Linked DNA regions of Oryzias latipes. The protein of the gene in region 2 purifies or fractionates together with the protein of the main gene of each other region. This does not show direct contact. Links are inferred from orthologs where the notes say so. Each region holds a gene or a part of one and is shown on either strand. Other genes may lie near its edges.

Evidence for each region.
Region 1: the proteins of aifm1 (region 2) and otud1 purify together in Homo sapiens (affinity purification with mass spectrometry; 3 studies listed by BioGRID, with this or other methods). This does not show direct contact. The link is inferred for Oryzias latipes from reciprocal best matches to the Homo sapiens genes AIFM1 and OTUD1.
Region 3: the proteins of aifm1 (region 2) and txn purify together in Homo sapiens (affinity purification with mass spectrometry; 3 studies listed by BioGRID and IntAct, with this or other methods). This does not show direct contact. The link is inferred for Oryzias latipes from reciprocal best matches to the Homo sapiens genes AIFM1 and TXN.

The regions. Positions count from the first base shown.
Region 1 is NC_019878.2:19,215,187-19,221,539, forward strand, and holds otud1 (OTU domain-containing protein 1), read right to left. Parts: upstream 5,178-6,353; 5' UTR 4,887-5,177; coding exon 3,612-4,886; 3' UTR 2,461-3,611; downstream 1-2,460. UniProt on the Homo sapiens protein: Deubiquitinating enzyme that specifically hydrolyzes 'Lys-63'-linked polyubiquitin to monoubiquitin.
Region 2 is NC_019872.2:16,888,430-16,894,795, reverse strand, and holds the start of aifm1 (apoptosis-inducing factor 1, mitochondrial), read right to left. Parts: upstream 3,845-6,366; 5' UTR 3,639-3,844; coding exon 3,551-3,638; intron 2,003-3,550; coding exon 1,872-2,002; intron 1,652-1,871; coding exon 1,531-1,651; intron 1,104-1,530; coding exon 993-1,103; intron 1-992. UniProt on the Homo sapiens protein: Functions both as NADH oxidoreductase and as regulator of apoptosis.
Region 3 is NC_019876.2:18,248,898-18,255,497, reverse strand, and holds txn (thioredoxin), read left to right. Parts: upstream 1-2,371; 5' UTR 2,372-2,568; coding exon 2,569-2,592; intron 2,593-3,790; coding exon 3,791-3,895; intron 3,896-4,565; coding exon 4,566-4,631; intron 4,632-4,833; coding exon 4,834-4,899; intron 4,900-5,450; coding exon 5,451-5,513; 3' UTR 5,514-5,814; downstream 5,815-6,600. Other genes in the region: svep1 (sushi, von Willebrand factor type A, EGF and pentraxin domain-containing protein 1), read right to left, coding at 6,105-6,135. UniProt on the Homo sapiens protein: Participates in various redox reactions through the reversible oxidation of its active center dithiol to a disulfide and catalyzes dithiol-disulfide exchange reactions.

The DNA.
Region 1 (6,353 bases), on a different chromosome or scaffold from region 2:
AGTATAGAAGCTAATTAACATGTATGTCACAGGACAAACAAATGTAGCTAGTTTTTGCTTTACAATTTTTAAATTATTCCCGTCAGGGTTTGGCGCCAGGTAAGGTTGTTTTTTAAACCTTTTGGTTCGCTTAAAACGATAAAATACAAAAAACAATCCTAGCCCGTTCAAACAAGGTTGGACAGATTATGTTGGCCTTCAATTGCAATCTTGGGTAAATCTTAAACGTACATTTTTAATCAATGTACAGATTTAATCAAAGATTTGGCAAGCTTACTCATTGCAGACTTGCCTTAGTGTGGCACAAAGATCACTATCAGCCACAGCGTAAATGAAGGAAGTGTGGTTAGACCCCAGCCCTACTTTCATGCCAGAGGTGCTTTTTTATCTGCAATTTCACAACAAGTGAAAAAAATGTGTTTTTTGGCAACATCTTCCAAGTCTACAATGCAATAGTATGTTGCTCAGGTTTGTGCATCACAAAGATCGAGAGGGAAAAGACTGAAACTTGACCCCTGTCGCTTGCTTCTATGCAGCAGGAAAAACAGATTAGCTGAGTCAGAATGTGTGGCTCGCTGCTGCTGAAGCTGCTGTTGTGCCCTTCTACACATCATCCCCACACTCCCTGCATACAATCTGAGCTCCAACTGCCATCAGCACTTCTGCCCCTGCAGTCTGCACACATGTTACTGTCCAAACTGCACACACAAAAAAAAAAACCTGCAACCGAACAGAAAGGCTTCAGCCACGAACTTCATGAAGCCGGAGGGAGGTAAAGATGGGCTTCCAAAGGGCTTTGCAGCAAATTAGCAATTATCCACCATGCCCTCATTTACATGCTCTGCCAATCGAACCTGTCATCATGGAGATAAGTTTGGATTTTTCTTGAGCTGTAATGAAGACACAGCAGCCCAGTCGGATACGATCACACCTCCAGGGCCAACACAACCACATGCTTTATCTTTGTATTTTATTGATCCAAAAACACAGAAGCAGGAAATGGAAAAAGTCCCTTTAAGGTGAGCTCAAAGGAAGCTGCTTCTCTCACTTAAGGAGCCAAAAGAAAAGAAAGTTAGCAGCAGTGTGAAAAGGGCAACTGCCACTTCAGATAATAACAGTGGGGCAAATGGCATCACAGCACTGATCTCCAAGTGGAGGAGATCAGAGGTGAGACTCAGCACAGTCACGCATAGAAAGAAAAATACTCTGCTAAGAGGAGCCATGTAATGGGGAAAAATATTCTGTATTATTTCTAACATTTTAGACAGAAAATAAGATAAAAATTCAACTCTAGTTTTAAAATTACGCATCAATTGCGTTTTTTTCAAATTAAGGCTAAAGTAGAGTTTAAAAATGACTTGTAGTCTAAATAAAGCTCTTAAAAGTTTCCCTTCCCTGGCCTGAGAAGGGAGAATTTTCCCTTATTCATCCGCGTAGAGTTCATCATCTGAACCAAATTAAGCAGCCAAAGAAATGATCTCTTACTGTGAAATTTTGGACTCCCTTTGTGCTCAGTCGGAGGAAGGTCCGCAAACTGCACCCGGTGCCCCGACATGTCCGCTCTTCCCCCCGCAGGTCAAAGCCTCTTCAAGTATGCGAGAACTTTTTGAGGATGCGTTCAGGTGCCGCTGCGTTTTGCGCGTGGGATCCCCGCTCAGATGCGTAACGGCGCGCACCCGTGGATTTATATTTTTATAAAGAAAGGCTGTCCGCGCGCGCCGATGCGCGTGCCAGCTGTGCGCTCGGTGACGGTCCGCTGTACCTGCACGCCTTCTTCTCCCTGCTCTGAACGGGTCTGAATCGAGCTGGGGAAGAGGGGGCGTCCACTATTCCTTTCCCGCATCAACAAACATGAAAACTTTTCTGCCCCGCATTAGTGCCCGCAGAGTGACGTCATCGCTGTTCAGAGATGAAGAGAAAACGTATCTTTTATGATTGTATTTATTTATTTATACCGTTCTATTGGCACTTGGTTCACTTGCACGTGCCTTTTGGCGCACTTTTATTGTTTTATTACATATTGTTTTACCTGTAAAATGTTCTCAAACTCTTTAATTATTTTTGGTTTAACATGTTGGTTGCATTTAGTTAGTTCTCTGTTTTTTTTTCTTAAACTAAATTGTATTTGTATTGAGGTTCTTTTTATTTTTAGACTGGTAATCTTTTGTGCGCGTGTTGTCCTTTATTTAGTTCTTTGAGCTGCACATTTGATTAGTTTCAGTATTTTTGCAAGAGGAAAAAGTGTTTATCATCTATTTGGCTTCTTTCAACGCCAAGTAACGATGTCTAGCATTTTTCTAATCCCTATAGTTTGAAGTCCTTTAATTTCCGTCCTAATTTGTATCAAATAAAAAACATCTGTGTGGTGAGATGTGAGGAGCCTACACTGCCATCTAGTGGATGGAATGGGAACACGGTGAGGTTGTCATCTGCCACAGGGAAACAAAACACATTTTGAATGAATGGTACATTACTTTAATGCAACAAAGAATCTAGGAAAACATGGATAAACAGGGTGACAGTGTAACTGAATACTCTGCAGAAAATTTTGTCTTTAAAACTTTTTTTCCCATTTTAAAGACCTACTCTGATTAAAACAGTTTTTTTAACATGTTCTTTTGCCCTTTTTTGATGATGGGAGCACATTTGTAAAGAAAAACTTAGTTAAAATGGGTATTTCTGAGTATTTCTTTATTCTTTAGAATAAATTTTATTCTTTATTGTTGTAAATCAGGAACACACAAAGAATTCTGTTATAAAGAGAGCGTGTTTGTGATGTAGAAAATATGTTGTCCAATCTGATGGATTCACTTGCAGATTAGGAGATCCACGTATGTCTTCATTTTCTTCATCTGAGCAGGCATATGGCTCAAACTGTAAGGCCGGATAGCTCCAGTATTGCTCGCCATTTTTGTTGCATCGGTAAATAATAGGTTGGGACTGTAAGCTATTGTGAGAGCGTGTAAACAAAGGGATGATGGGAAATGCTGCCACACAACTCAGAGGCAGATTTCTATTGAACTCCTGCCGCTCTGAAGAAACTATGTTACACAAGTTGAGAAAAGACACCAGCTAATCAAGCTAGAACATAACTTTTAACCTTTCAAAGCATCAGAGTGCAGCGTGCATCTCTTATCTCTTCCCACCATGCTGCACTTTAAAGGGAGGGTTTGTATAAGATTAGTGTTGTGCGACTAAAAAGACATGATCATCGATGCTGAATGACAGTTTTATGGAAACAATCAAATAAAACTGTTAAAACAATCTTATAAAATAAAAACATGTTTTTTTCCCCAACAAACTTCATTTAAAATAAAAAGAAAACAATCCAAACATTTGGAATAAATGACAAGAAAGCAGCACAAAATACAACTCTCCCAAACGAGTCTGACAGGACTTTTGTGCAAAAGAGAGCAGCTATAATACAGCTATGTGCCACTTGGAAAAAGACAAACACAAAGAAATGGAAAAATAGTTGACAAGTGCTAATAAAGATGGTCTGCGATGTGCACTGCACTTTTTTTCTGACAAACTTAGAAAACTTACAAAAGAATAATAATTTAAAGCAACCAAGCAGAGTCCACAGCATCCATCAGGAACAGACTGTGGCCTCACACGCAGCCATTCTGCTCTATGTACATCTTCGATAGTGAGGCCGCCATGGACTTTGCCAGCTCCTCGTCTCGTTTCCGCTGCATCTGTGAGCGCCGGCACCAGTCTTCGTACTCTGGGTTGGGAAGACATCGGCCCAGGACCACATCGTAGTGGCCGTTGCTGAGCCAGCTTAACCAGATGGCTGGTTTGGAGGCGTCCTCCTCGCCGAGGTAGTGCACCATGGTGGAGACGGTGGGACTCTCTGAGCTGCCGCCCGTCGTGAGGTGGATGTTGACGTTCAGCATCTGGCTCATGGCGAGGAGCTCCGGGTAGCCGGCCCAGGCTCCGTCCTGCGCCGCATTGATCAGGAACTCTCCCACGTCGCCTTCGATGATGGGGTTGAACTCGTCCAGGTGGTCGGCGATGTGGTGCACCGTCTGCTCCCGCAGCTCGCCGTGCCTGGTCTGGTCCCCGTACGTGGCTTTGCACACAGCTCTGTACAGGCAGTTGCCATCTGGAATGATGTGGTACCTGTATTGGTTCCTCTCCTGGAGGTACTTGTTCTGCTTCTCCACCTCAGCCAGGTACCGGCTGACTTTGTGGTCTCTCTGCTGGGACCCCTGCGGAGGCGACTCCTGCAGGACACTGAGCTTCAGAGTCTGGTTCTGCCCTGATGGTGGTGTACTTTCCATACTGTTCATGTCAAATAGATCCTCTGTTCTGAAGTTCTTCGTCATGGCAACCATTGAGGGGGCCAGTTCCTCTTCATGGAATGACGCCCATCCGTTGCTCCTATAAGGTCCAGAATCCTCCTCCTTACATTCCACTGTGGATTGAGTGGTTTTCTTCCTCTTAAAAGCAGATCCTCCTGGCAGTTCTGTGCAGCCTGCCTCCTCAGTCTGATGGTTTGTCCAGTCCACCATGGTCTCCTGGTCGGGGTCACTGCAGGGCTTGTGGGGGCGGCCTGAGGGGGGTTTGGGCTGTCGGATGATGTGAATGGGAACCGGCCTTTGCACTCCGTCGGGTCGGCGGATTAATATCTCGGCGGTGGAGGTGAAGTAAAGCGGCCTCCTGGTAGAAGCAGCCTCGTAGCACGAAAAGGCGGGCATGTTTCCAGAAGTCTCCGCGGGCGGAGCGGCGTGAGTTGACGAAGTTGTGTCAAGTTGGGCAAAGTCGACCTCGGAGGAAGTTCGCGGCGTCCCGTTCAGGCGCTCGGGGGCTGCAGACAGAGTTATTGTAACTTTCCGCGACGACTTCGGGTAGTGTGTGAGCGCGCTGTTGTACAGCTGCATTTTCCAACGGTCCTTTATACTGAACACCGCCGCCGGGGCAGTTACGAAAAGATGACAACGAGCGCTAAAAATACCCCCGGAGTCATCAACAGCGGGAAACTCGCGGGGAACGTTTCCATGGCCCCGAGTCCTGTTATCGGGGACACGCAACGACGACGACAAGGTCCACTTTAGCTGTGTGGCGTCATCTGCTGTTGGGGTGCCTCCCTAATTTTAGGCTTCACTGTTTGTAACCAAACCCCTTCAGTGTAAAAGCCCGTCAAATCCCGGAGGACAAAATACCAGTTCCGTTTGGGAAACTTCAAAATAAAACCCCTCATCGTCGTTTAATGTTTTTTGGATGTTTTAATTTTATTTGTCTCAGATTATAATCACAAATTATTAATTTGCATTTACTTTTATTATTATTTTTGTAATATATTATGTAGATTGTTTTTATAGCTGTTATTAATTTCATGCTATTTTTGTGAATGATTTTAAACAAATCTTAAGTTAAAGAAATTATAAAAATGTTACAAGAGTTTTCGGGAATAAAAAAAAAATCATTTCTTAACCATCCTATATTGTCCAGACTAACTCGTGTTGTTGAAAATGTTATTAACTGTGTAAGTGGAGAAAAATAAATAACTAAAGACTTGAAAAAAGTTAAGTTCGTATATTTTTTAACCTTCAGATTCTAACATTCCAACTTAACTACTAACCTAGTACTTATAACGTTTTCAATTAAACCCAAAGTTATGGTATATTTGGCTACCTAACACTTAACATCAAAAATCATTTTCATGATTAAAAATCTATAGCTAAAATTCACAATAATGGTGTTTTATAGGTTTGCAAAGTTTTATATGACAAAATAAAAATCTATTTTTAACATTTTAAATAAAACATTAATAAGGGAAAATTGTAATCCCGCAGAACCTCAAGTTAATTTGAAAATGGGTTACAGAAAAAAAGAAAACTATTTTTAAATTAAAAAGCCTTGTTTGTATCTGTCTTTTTGTATCTATCTTTTTTGAGACAAGTTTTACATTTTTTTTGTCATTTGTTTTTATTTTAATTCATGAATTTTTATTATTGATGCCTTATGAATGGAAAAACACAACCTTTTGATACATTAAAAGAAGCAAAATAAAAGTATTTTTTCTTATATCAATAAAAATGTCAATTTTTATCCAAACAAACCTTAAAATACCATGTAAAAGCATAATTTGTTTGTGAGCTGAAAGTATTTGGTGCATGTGAATATGTCCATTGGACATTATTGGCAGACATGTCAATGCTTAGATATGCTCCTGAAGCTTTTTTTAAACACTTACACTGTCAGAGCTTGTGGATTGTGGAACTCAATCTGCGTGCTTGGAATAGACATCCGACTGGCGTCAGTTAAACCCACAGCTGAAAAGTAATCCAATCTTTTCAGGAAGAACATTCTGGAAACATTGGTTACACAACATGGAGAAATTAATT
Region 2 (6,366 bases):
GTTAGGTTCTCTAAATAGACACTTTCACACACAGTTAAAGACAATACAAGTCCCATGCCAACACTGATACACAAAAAAAAACCCAACATACATTAAACTAGTAGCCACAAATTCAACAATTTGACCAACTAAAAAACAGACAAATATATACAAAATGCCAAGGGCTGCAGTAAAACAATGATGGGTTAGTTTACAATGTTAAACAGAAAACCAACTCCAAAGGTCATGCGAGGTCAGAGTGTGTGCAGTAACCTACAAAAAATGTTGTTATGGGAAGATCAGAAAGCCTCATTAAAAACTGTTATTTTGTAGGGACAAACCTTTACCAGGGGTGCTGCTGCTTACAAGCCCCACATTGTCTTGTTGGTGAAAAAAAATATGTGTGGGGTTGTGAGCATTAAAAATCCACTCTGATAAAAATAGTGTTTTGGGTGTTTTTAATATGTTCTTGTGACATTTTTCTGATAATGGAGGACATATGTAAAGAAAATTAAGCTCAATCGGGAATCGGTGAATCGGGAACAGACGAAAAATCCAGATCCATGTGTGTCTTTGTTTTCCTCGTCTGAACTGGCATCTGGCTCAAGACGAGACGGCTGGATATCTCAGATATTACTCACCATTTTTGTTGTGCCTGTAATGTTAGGTTGGGGTTGTGAGGGGCTGTAAGCTAGTGGGAGAGCGTATAAACGGATGGGTGACGGAAGTGGGAGTGGGCTTGCTCTGCGCCAACTCGGAGGCAAATATTTAATGAGCTCAGCAGAAACTATGTCCTAGAAAACGACTGATTTTTACATGTTGGCTACAAAGGCATATTCATAGTTAAAAGAACATTGAAAATGCTTTTAAAACAGCTCAAAAGATGATCAGAGTGGGACTTTAATGCTCAGCATGTAGTGTATCTTTGAACTGGTAATACCAATAAGGGATAAGGGGTACACAGGAGTTCTGGCTGCGCATGCATGAGTTAGAATATACAGTCTGCAGACTACCTGGGGGGGTGGTCGTTTCAGGAGCCGTCTCCTCTTTGGGGGCTTCAACCTCTGCAGGTGAGCTTGGCTCTTCTATTGAAGGTGCTGCTGCAGGCTGGTCCTCAGGAACAGCTGACAAAAAAGAAAACAGAAAAGACATTTTGCCTCAAAAATCTTTAAAATCCAGTAAGGCCTTAGATATGTGCTGGAGTGATAATTTCCACTGGTCCACCCCTGATTCCAGTGCAATTGTGAAAGCTGTTTATCTGGATATCTCAAATGTTTATGTTTAGATAAAGAGGAAGCTGTTGTGCAGTCAGCTGATTGCTCCTGCACCACATAACCTTGAACTAAAGCCGTTTCATTAAAAAGAGACATTGAGGATAATGTGAAAGGATGTTTTTCCTTAGCATGGGTGAAACCAACCTTTACTACCAATTATTCCTACAACACACACAAAAAATCATCTTCCCCTCAGTGTCAGGTGAGCGACATATCCAGCACAACATGAGAGCAGACATGATTAGAGGTTAGAGGAGGAAAAGCTAAAACATCTCACCAGGAGGTTCTGACTGGATTTGTGCAGCTGTAGGTATTGTGGACGTTTTCTGTGGCCTGGTGGAAAGTTCTTCTATGCGCTGCTCGTATCGTTTTTGGTCCGACTTCATGGTTACAACTGCCTAAAAAAAAAAGTGCACACAAGAGAGGAAGGAGTCCCACTCTGTACAGTCATCTCTTTACGACTGCAGCTCATTCTAACGTCTCGAGGAGAACATCGGAGAGTCTGAAAACATTCCACAAATTATGGATGGCATAAAGACGCTCTTATTTCAGATCAGAATAGTATATTTTTTAAAACACAATTACTAAAACCTCTTGATGATAGTCTGGTTCACTCACATAAACGAGGCCTCCAACGCTGACTGCGCCAACCAGGAGAGCATACTTGAGGTTGTCTCCACCTCCTCCCACAGGCCCACTGGACATGTGGGCTGCAGGAACGCACACTGGTGTTCGGCCATTGTTCAAACCTAAACGACACATCAGAACTTTTCATTTGAAGCTAGGATAATAAACCCACTCTAAGTGTAGCCGCTCTTGCTGTTAATGTTTTTATTCTTTCCAAACCAAATTTGGAAACAGTTTTCTATGCTAATATAGATGTTGAAGTGTGCAATAAATGACATATTATGCAGAATATACAATTAGATTTAGATACCTGCTCCCTAAACCATAACAAAGTTGATGAAATGTGAGAGAAGCTGTTTGAAATTGAAAAATCTATTTATTACAAAAAAACAGGTCGTCAAATTCAGATGAAAAGCAGAATGTGAAAAGGTTTTGAAGGACTAAAGTGATGACAAATAAAAAGGAAGTTACTTCAGATGCTTTCACAATGGAAATGAAATAACTGGTTATAAAAAATGAAATGAAAATCATCCCTGAATAGAACACAACACCTCTGCACTAACCATGCAGTTCTTCAAAAACAAGCCTTGATCATTCTTAAAAATGAAGAAAGAAATCCTACACACTCTGAAAACGGTGTTTATGGCTTATTTAGTTTCCTAAAGGGGGATACAAACATTTAGTTTTACAGCCTCGTTCTGTACAAAACCCCACTTGACCCTGATGGGCATCTGAAATAAAGTAGAAGTCAGGTCTTAATTTATTTTAAAACAAAACCAAAACACAAAAATAATAACAACAAATGGATGCCTAAATTTTAAATTCCCCAGTATAGTTATTTTATATTGTAATTTGTACAGGCAGTTAGATAGACACCTTGAAGGGACCTTTTTTTATGAGAACTTTATTGACAAATTTGCACATACAGGACATCATACAATACATGACACCCCATATCTCATGCAGAGTTGTTTGAGCAAAACAACAACAGACCGTTAACCAGGACAATAAATAAATAAATAAATAAAATGTCCAAAGTTTTAAAATAAGACTATGCTTCAACCGTTAGACCTTTAGAAATAAATCTAAAATAATCAAACTGGTGGGATGAAGTCAGTTTAGGTGTTAATTTATTTCTCCATTTTAAGTATAGAAGTAAAAAAAAACAGTCAAATTAAAATGTACAACAAATTTGAGTGTTTAACATTGAATTGATCACACGTTTGATGGAGAAGATAGAGACTTCTGTTTGACATGACTATAGAACATGCATTTTAGAGCCAGAACAACTCTTCCTCCCTACTTCAATGAGACAATCTGGCGAACTATTACAAAAAAAATTAAAATAAAAAATCTGCAACACCTGTCAGGTGCAAAGAAGTTCACACAGAGAATGTCAAAACAGAGCATGCGCACAACCTGTCTTCTTCTAAGTCCAGCAAAAAATGTGCTGCAAGTGTGCAGGTTAGCCGAATGTCTCTGAGCAACGTCAACATTCAATGATTAGCTCGTTAGCTTGTTAATGAACAAAGGTCGGGGAAGTTCAACTGATTCCAAACTACTTTATGTTTTACCTGCAGACCCAAACCTAATATCCAACCCATAATAAAGATCGTTTACGAGTCCCAGCTAACTACTGAACAATACTGAACCTCGTTAACTTCACTGACCTGCTCTTCTCACGTTCTGCCGGCACAGTGTGGACGAGGATTTAGCCAGAGGTGCGAGCTTTCTCCATACTGTCCTACATTTCAGCATCGTGGCTCCGCTCTCCTGTTCCTGATCCCACTTCACGAGCCGGGCAGTCTGTCAGAAAGCCACTAACGGTTAATCCCACAGCCGGCGAGCGCGGACAACTAGCAGCTCTGCACTGCACACCAAGGCCAGAGACAGGTCAAACGTTTCAGAGGGGTGCTGGGTAATTGAAAAGACTATTTCAGAGTGAAGATAGACCGCGGCTGCGGGAAAGTTAAATGCGAAAAAATATTAAGTCGCCCTTAATAAAAGTGTGATTTGTTAAGCTCTTCTTACTGCGTGGTGCTCTTCCTATAATCGGTTTGTCATAATAGATTATGTTTCCCAAAGCTGGCGTTAGAAGCCTAACTTATAACATTTATTCAGCACAGAATAAAACCTGTCTTCCAATGATGTTATGAAACCTGTATCATCTCGCTTTGTAGACGCTCTCTGGAAACTCAGCTCTTCTTCTTTACATGAAAGCAACTATAAGGAAGCGTTGAAGCGACACTGAAAGTGATGCTGCCATCTACTGATTCATAACAGCAATTGCAGCCACGAGCGTCGTAACAGACCCGGGATACGTATAATTTCTTGAATCTATCCCTTTTACATATACTTTTTTATTTTCAATCAAACAAAGAATCATCATTAATCATCTTAAGTTTGATATCTGTATGTATAGATGTATATCTATATCATTTGTCTTCATTTTTTCCTTGTTTTTTAATTTCTTGAAATAAATCGGTTTCAATCCAATAGTTAAAATGAACGAGAGGACTGATAGTTCAGTTGTTATAGAGAAATACAACAAATATCAATTAATGTAAATCATTTAATACATAAAATTAATCAATATAAAAGTACATAATATTGTAAAGATAAATAAACATAAAAATATATAAATTGTCCGTTGTTCCTGGGTATTTCATAAATACATTATATGATTTTTTTACACAATAATTAAGTAATTCATCTTTGCTATGTGATTTATTGATACCTAAGGATTCTTAATTCTGTCTGATAAAAGTTAGGAACCGGATAATGATAAATCATGTAATGAAATGGTGACGGTAGAACAGGGGTGGGATTATATACATTCGCTTCCTTCCACTTCCTTTCAAGCAAGATTTAATTTTATGTCTAATTATCCTAAGTTTGATACGTCATTGTATAAATGTATATCTGATGATTGTAATGTTTTTTGTGTATTACTATTTGATTGCTTGAAATAAATCATTTCAAATTAAATTATAATCAAATACAAAAATGTTGCGATACATTGTCTTATCTAGACAATTAATATATTTATATTTATTCCCAATTAATATGACAAGATGCAGAAAAAAACATGTTCAAAATGGATTCAAAATGTGTTTTTTAATCTCAGTAGAATATTTTGTGTTGTTGTTTAATGTACTTTTGTTCTTTCTTGTTTTGTTCTTTTCTTCTTAAATAACCTAACTTGTATTATTGATTCTATCTCTGTTTGTAAAAGGTGTTTGCTTGTTAGGAGGCACCTGTTTTAAAAAAACATAAAGGGGAGAATTGTGGAGAACTCCTTCATCAGGATAAGACAATCATTTTATATGCTAATTAAGAGGTTCTTTTTCAATAAGCACAAAAATATATTATCAGCACGAATTTATAAAAAATGTTCATTATAATACCAGTGAATGGTGGTGCTGTTGGAACATCCATGACGTTTACGAGAAATGTCATAGACGTGGGAATTATTTTGTATTCTAGCTAAATGAAAATGTTGCTGCACAAATGAGAACAGGGCATAAAAAGATGAAGCAGATTTTCTTTGGCTGTCAATAAAAAATGCAAAAGTTGCCAAAGAGAATGACACATTTTAATCAAAAATGTGGAGATTTCCTCACAAATTAATAAAAATTGTGATAGAAAAGTAGGTTTGGTTAAAAAACTAAAAACAGCAGAGTATTTTTTCTGAGCTTGCATTCAGCAATATTTACTTCTGCAAATATGATTTGCAACACAAACTGTTTACATGTTGAGGACAATGAGTTTCTTTTTTTTACATCGTATTATAATTTTCTGCTTTTTTTTTCATTCTCACAATAAAATTGATGCAATAGTAAACAGTATCCAAAATGAGTCTTTTTAAGGTCACAACATCATTATAGCTGCTAAACATTGTTATAAGTGAGAATGGAGGGAAAATTTACTAAATACACTAATCCTATTAAGGTTGGAAAAATGGTAAAAACAGTGAATGGTGCTACTTATAAAATACTTTTCTACCTTTCTTAAAGGCCCAAAGTGCTTTACAGTCTCACACACAAACATTAACTCACCTCCAAAAACAGGCACCAACCTTCAAACCACCAGGAACAATGTGGGGTTCAGCGTCTTGCCCAAGGACACTCCGACACTTGGCAGGAGCTGAACGTGCAGTCACCTGATCAGATGTCACCTGACCTCTGCACCAGTCGAGAGACTCATTTGGGATCATTTGACCTGTTTCCCAAAACCACCCAACAAAACTTGGTCCCAGAAAATCTTTCAAAAAGACACAACCCCTTTGGGATAACGTCAATATATACAGTTAGAATCCAAACTCAAAAAACAAGAGAGACTTCATGTCAGCATAAATGATCCCCAAATCCTGTTCTAAGAGCACAGAAGTTTATTGATGAAATGCATGAAGGTAATAATGTTCCAAAATGGACGAGCTTGTAGATTTGATGTGAGAACTTGTAAAATAGAATGTGAGAACTTGCGT
Region 3 (6,600 bases), on a different chromosome or scaffold from region 2:
CCAAAGAATTACTTAGATTACGTTTCAACATTGATGACAACAGCTGTTCCTTCTGCCAAACTGCTGTTGAAGACACCGACCACATATTTTTCCTGTGTAGCATTGTACACATTTTTTGGTTAGATGTTTACAAATAGTTGAAAAATAAATTCCCATTCATTGTGAACCTTTTTTTAAAAAGAAGTCATAATTTTCGGCATATCACTACACAAAAATGTATTTATTTATGTATCAATACCATTTTATGAATAGTCAAGTTTTTTATACACAAAAACAATTACAGAAATGTCACCCCAACATTACCTTCTTTAATGCAGAAGTCAATTTATACTTAAAACCCCTAAGATTAATCAATTTACCAAAAGCATAACAGTTTATGATATTCTGAGCGATACTATCTGAGACGGTTTATTTAGTCATTGTTGTACCAACCAGCATTTGGTGTCACTATTAAACTCTGAAATTGTTGTTTTCTTGTGTCTTGTGTATTTGCACGTATATGTATGCATATTGATAAGTACTCTATTTTATTTTGTTTGTGCTTCCTTTTCAATTGCTATATTCTTTCTACTAGTATCCACCATATTTTGGGATGTTTTTGGTTTGTGTTCGATAAAGTTCTTTAAAAAAAAAAAAAAAAACTCTGATTCAGCATTTTATGTACTCTTCCTGTTTCAGAAATGTTATAAACTGTGTACTTATTTTGCAATAACCTTCGATCCCACTAGAGAGCCCTATTGCATTGCAGATGAGCCAGAGACTGTACTTCTTCTGACTATTGTATTTGTGTTTTGTTAGGGCTGTACCAACTGAAGATGGTGGACACACAAGCATCCTGAAAGCCTCAAGAGGCTGATGGCGTGGTTCAAACAGGTAATGTGGAGCATCAATCAGGAATGAAAAGATTTCTGTGTCACTGCTATTAATTGTATACACACATGACGCCTCTGCAGGGAAAACTGCAATGTCGGGAGCACGTCACCAAAGGCTTTGAAAACATGCCAGCTGCTTTTAAGGGGATGCTGAAAGGAGACAACACTGGCAAAGCCGTTGTTGCTGTCTGATGGATGACCAATAAAGGTCTTTACACAATTAATGAAGGAGGATTTTACATATACTGCACTGAAAAATAACTACAAGATATGTATTGTCTTTTCAGTGTTTAGTGAATTAATTTTATTTTTAAAATACATATGTGTGAGATATGTCTGTATTTCTCAATAGAATGTAGTTTTATTTAAATTGTTTAGTATTTTTCTCTTTTTTTCCCGGACAAACGTAAATAAAAAGATTGTTTTCTTACAGCTGTGACACGGCTTCTACCTGAACGGGGAAAAAAATCCAAAAGTGACATTTGCTTGTTTTACAGCGACATAGATAAAACTGTAACCAGATATTGTTGTTTATTCTATAATAAAGGTTGTTTTTGGTCTTTATTGATGTATGCTGGTATTGCATGCATTGCCTAACTGATTTGAACTTGCATCATATTTTAAAGAATGGAATTATGCAAAGATACTTTTAAAAAATGTTTTAAGGTCTAAATTAGGCAATTCTTAGGCTTCAAATGAAGTTTCCTTATTTTTACGATAGAACCTGTTGGAACATTCACATATGTAGTCTAAATACTCAAATTCTTTATTCAAATATGTAAATGGAAAAACAAGTCTTTGTGTACCATCTTTTAGAATTAATCTTCTGATTAAATCACTTCCCTAAACTTATTCCAACCATGATCAAACTGCAATAATTTGTCTAAATATTGCAATTTTTTGTTATAGTATGGACTTTTCTGTTTATTGTTTACCCCTTACTTTAGTTGTAAAAGAATAAACAAATAAAGTCTTTTTAAGCTATTACGTAATAAGACTAGTGCAGGGGTGTGGCCTCATGGGCGTTGACCAGAGTTTGTACAAGGAAATATGGTCTGCAGTGACCATGTTTACGGTAGTACAGAAATTTGCCAAGTCATTGTGATTCGACTGTCTGATCAAGCGTTGACGGAATTAAAAACAAAAAAAGTATTTCAACTTACTATCGATATAATTCTCTAAAAGGACGCGTTATTGTTAGTAGATTAGTTTTGCAAGTTATTTTAAGCCGCAACGAAACAACAACGAAGCACTAACGGGCCTCAGATATATATAGCCTGACATCACCGATTCTGTAGTTTTTATTCTCAGTAAAGAGCTAAAATATTTGCAAGAATCCAGGAAAGGAAACCATTCTGTTTATAACTTTCAAAATAAAAGTATTTTTCGTGAAGCTTTACCAGTAATAACACAACTGCTGATACAACATGAAATCAAGTACGGTTACAACACATTTCATGCACAATCATAGTGGCAATGACGTATACACACGGCGTTCTTTTAATATAAATGATTCGCTTAAACATAAAAGACTGGCTTTTATTTTGTTAGTCAACCCATCAGCTCTTCCGCTGCGACGTGTTAGTCTGACGCCGTTATAAATAGGGCAGGTCATCCTCTTTGACTGAAAGTGTGGTCTTTGCGAAGCCGCTGTCTTTTAGATTCAGCGAGAGTTTGCCTTTTCAAAACAGCAAACATGGTCCGTGAAGTGGCTGATCTTGTAAGTAGTTCTATAAATACAATTAATCATGTCTTTATTTATTTCGCTGTACTACTACATACATTCAGGACAGCACAGTTGACGTTAGGTAGCCGCGCGGTTATTTTCTCAGCAAGCTTCTATCTACTTACCTTTTTTGCAAGAAAAAAAAACCCTGTTAAAGCATTTATTCGCTTAGAGTTAGCATGTTTATTGTCGTTGATGGAATAAATTACTCCGACAGAATAACTCTGGAGGCTGTATTGCTAATGTTTAGTTGTTTTTTCTTTTTTTCCATTTTCTACCCATGATGCACGAGGGCGGACTTTGCTATCTTGTTGCCGCGCGAACACGTTGCCAGGGTTACAAGTTTTCGGAAAGGTTTTACCGTTAACTAGATAAAAAATCTTTTAGTAATACACCAAAAAAACGTTCCTATCATGGCTCAGATGAGCAGAAAGCTACAATAAAGTACTAGTTTGAGTAAAAGTCAACTCCTATTTGCGACACTTGGACCATTCCGCTAGGCCTCGGGCCGCCTCTGTCCGTGTGTACACATGCCTGGATGTCAAAACTGCTGAAATCATTCAGACTTCTGGGTGTCACTGGTTGCGTCCGAATTCCTTCACTAATCACTACAAAGTGCACTGTGCGTTCGCCATTTTGTAGTGCTGTCCGATTCTACAATTCCAAAATCGAGTGCCCTGCAAATTTCCCAGAAATCTCCGCAAAAAAACAGTGTGCATCAATGCTCACTAGATCTGTGAATATAGATCACAATGCATGGCATCAAATCTATTTTTGCTTAAAAATGTATTTAAATGTACTTTCTGAACAACCTGTCAAGTGTTTTTATCTTCAGAAGACTGATAAATGATCCTCGCAAAATGCTCCTATCAATTAGATTTTAACTTCGTGAAATCGATGACGTCATATCCGCCGTAAATTAAAAAAAAAAGTAGTGGGCATGGTGTCCAAATTGCTTTTAAGTCGGTGCACTCTATAGTTTTTTTTAGAAGTTGGGGGTTAGGGTGGGAATTCAGATACAGCGACTGCTTTTGATCTGGGGCTGTTCTGCTAATCATTAGCCAAACCTTTGATAACCACTTATCGTTACACTATGGGAAAGCCTGCTGACAAAATGAAGTAATTTATTTAAACGAATTCTTTACCTTTATGCTTATTTAAAATAAATGATGGAAACATGCTTTTTTTGTAGGCAGAATTCAAGAAAATTCTGGAAGACGCTGGAGACAAGCTGGTGGTTGTGGACTTTACTGCATCATGGTGTGGGCCCTGCAAACAGATTGCCCCCTTGTACAAGGTAGATAACTGGAGCTTAAAGACTTGATCCGATGAAAATGTTTTTAACATGTTTTTGTGCCCATTTTCTGATAAAGGAGAACATGTATAAAGAAATTTAAGCTTAAAAATGCATTTCTGAGTACTTCTTTTTCTTATTGTGAATCAGTCACAGGCAAGAAAGGACAGTTTTGACAGAGCTTGTAGTTGTAATGTAGAAGCTACAATCTGCAGGCCACAAGCTCCCTGCTCCACTCCATACTGATGCCTCTACTTGCAGACAAATGGATCCATGTACGTCTTTGTTTTCCTCGTCTGAGCTGTCATCCGGCTCAAAACTGTATGCCTGATAGCTCCGATATTGCTCACCATTTTTGTTTCACCTGTAGTGTTAGGTTGGGGGTTTGATGGGCTTTAAGCTAGTCGGAGAGCTCGGAAGTTACAACCCCTCTCTGTCAACCGTCCCAACCAGCGAATAGAAACAGGGGGACCAATTGAAAACGGTGTTTAAATGTAGATGCATTGTTACTATGGCAACCCTATAAGGTTTACCTCCCCACTTCAAGGAGAGGAAGTGCTTGTTCACAGGAAATGGTCCAACACACACCCAGTATGATTTTTCAGTAAAAGTGCTCTGTTTCTGTAGAGTTGAGTCTAATGTACTGTTGTTGTATGTACTTGTTGTCTTGCAGCAAATGTCGGAAAGCGATGACAACAAGAATGTGGTTTTCCTGAAGGTGGATGTGGACGAGGCTGATGTGAGTGTGCACGTTCTCCTCCTTGGCCAGTACAAACTAGCTTTGTTTTAATGGGCAAAACCAGCTTTTGTTTTTAGTCTCTCTACTTTATGAAAGCGTTAGGTTGCAATTGGGGGCCAGCAACAATAATTACTTAATAATTGTATTTTTATTTTTTTTAATTTTGATTCATAAAAAAAAACTGTTGCTTTTTCTCTTTCAGGATATCAGCAGTTTCTGTGAAATTAAATGCATGCCTACATTCCACTTCTACAAGGGGGGCAAAAAGGTAAGTAACTGAGTGCAGTAGTTGAAAAGTTTATAACTTTTTACAGAGGTTCTGATGACTTCCTTTAAAAAAAGAGACCCTGTGTCACATGGGATCATTAAGAGAGTCTTACTGTATTTTTCAAACCATAAGGTTATCTTAAAATCCTTGTATTTGTAAAATACTATTTATAAATTGAGTGTACTTACTGCCCTCAAATTGATTTCCTTTGGTACATGGGGCCCAAAAATCTGCCAAAATGTTTTAGTTTGACTTGTGATGCGTCCCGTCTGTCAAATGTTGTGGAATGAGTTGAATGAAGTTTAAGTTTACTTTGTCTTTTTTGCTATTTAAAAGGAAAACCTCTTTGTCTTTCTTTAACCAGAGAGCCATGTGTGCCCTGGTTTAAGTGATCCCTGTTTAAGCCCTGTGTAAGCTTGACTTAAACAATTAAACCAGCCTGGAAGCCCTAATGTCCATCCTGCAGTAGCAGAAACGGCTAGTTTTTGTTTGCAAATATTAGATCTCACCTTTTCAACTTCTGTCATTTTTTTATGTTTTTATTTTTCCAGGTGGATGAGTTCTCTGGTGCCAACGTTGCAACCCTGGAGGAAAAGCTGAAAGCACTGAGATAGGAGTAGAAGTCAGACTGACCAGAGCAGAAAATAAAACGCATAACTGATAAAGTCTTCACCTCATAACACACCCAAAGAAAGAATTGCAGCTAAGCGTCATGTTTAACTGCTATCAAGTTTTGTTTTTTTCCCCAATGTTGGCACTAACTTGTCATCTATCCTGAGTTGAACAGTTTGTGTACTGCATTTACTTCAGTCCAGGTTTTATTTTTTTATTTTTTTTTTCTACTCTAACCATTTATGAAGTTTGAGTAATCCATGTTACCTCTGTATGGATTTAATAAATGAATCAAACCCTAAACTGCCCGACTACAAAGAGCTTCTAATAGCATTTAATGCTTTAATAGAAATGTGACAATAGTTTACACATAAACACTGGAACGGTCACATCAATCTTTTTTTACACATCATACAAGTATATATAGCAGCGCATGTTTAATACTGTTAAGTCTTTATATGAAAAAATACAGCTTTAAATTTACAAACTGGTTCTTTTTTTGACTTTGAAGAGAAATGAAAAGTTGGCAAGAGTCCAGAAACTATACAGGAAATCCCTTCATTAGATGATTCACATGGAGGTGACTGGAACCTTTAGAAATGGTAGTAAACAGATTTCCTCTTCCTGCAGGGAAGAAGAAAAAAAAAGGTTTTAGCACAAATAGCTTAACATCTGCGTTCAAGCAGAATTTGAAAAAGTTTGAATAAAAAGTGATTTTTTTTTTTCCTATGGAATAAATGCAAATATTATTTTACTTAATTGTGAATCTTAAGGTGCCACTGAAGGTATTAAAGCACGTTTTTAAAAAAATACTTTCAATGTTTGAACTTTTAAGTACAAAAACGAACTCAGAAAAGGGGTTTTTACATGAAAAGCCCTCAGGACCCTTTAGGTCCTCTGGCACGGGCCTCTAGATTCCCAGAGTTGGAACCAAAACATACGGCGAGTTAGTTTTTATGGACCTCGCCTGTGGAACAGCTTCCCAGAGAACCTCAGGATCACAAATGTGCCTTATAAAGGAAGGTTCAAGACCTAGCTTTTTATTCTGGCTTTTAGTTGAAATGTAGGGAAACACTTATTAAATATTTA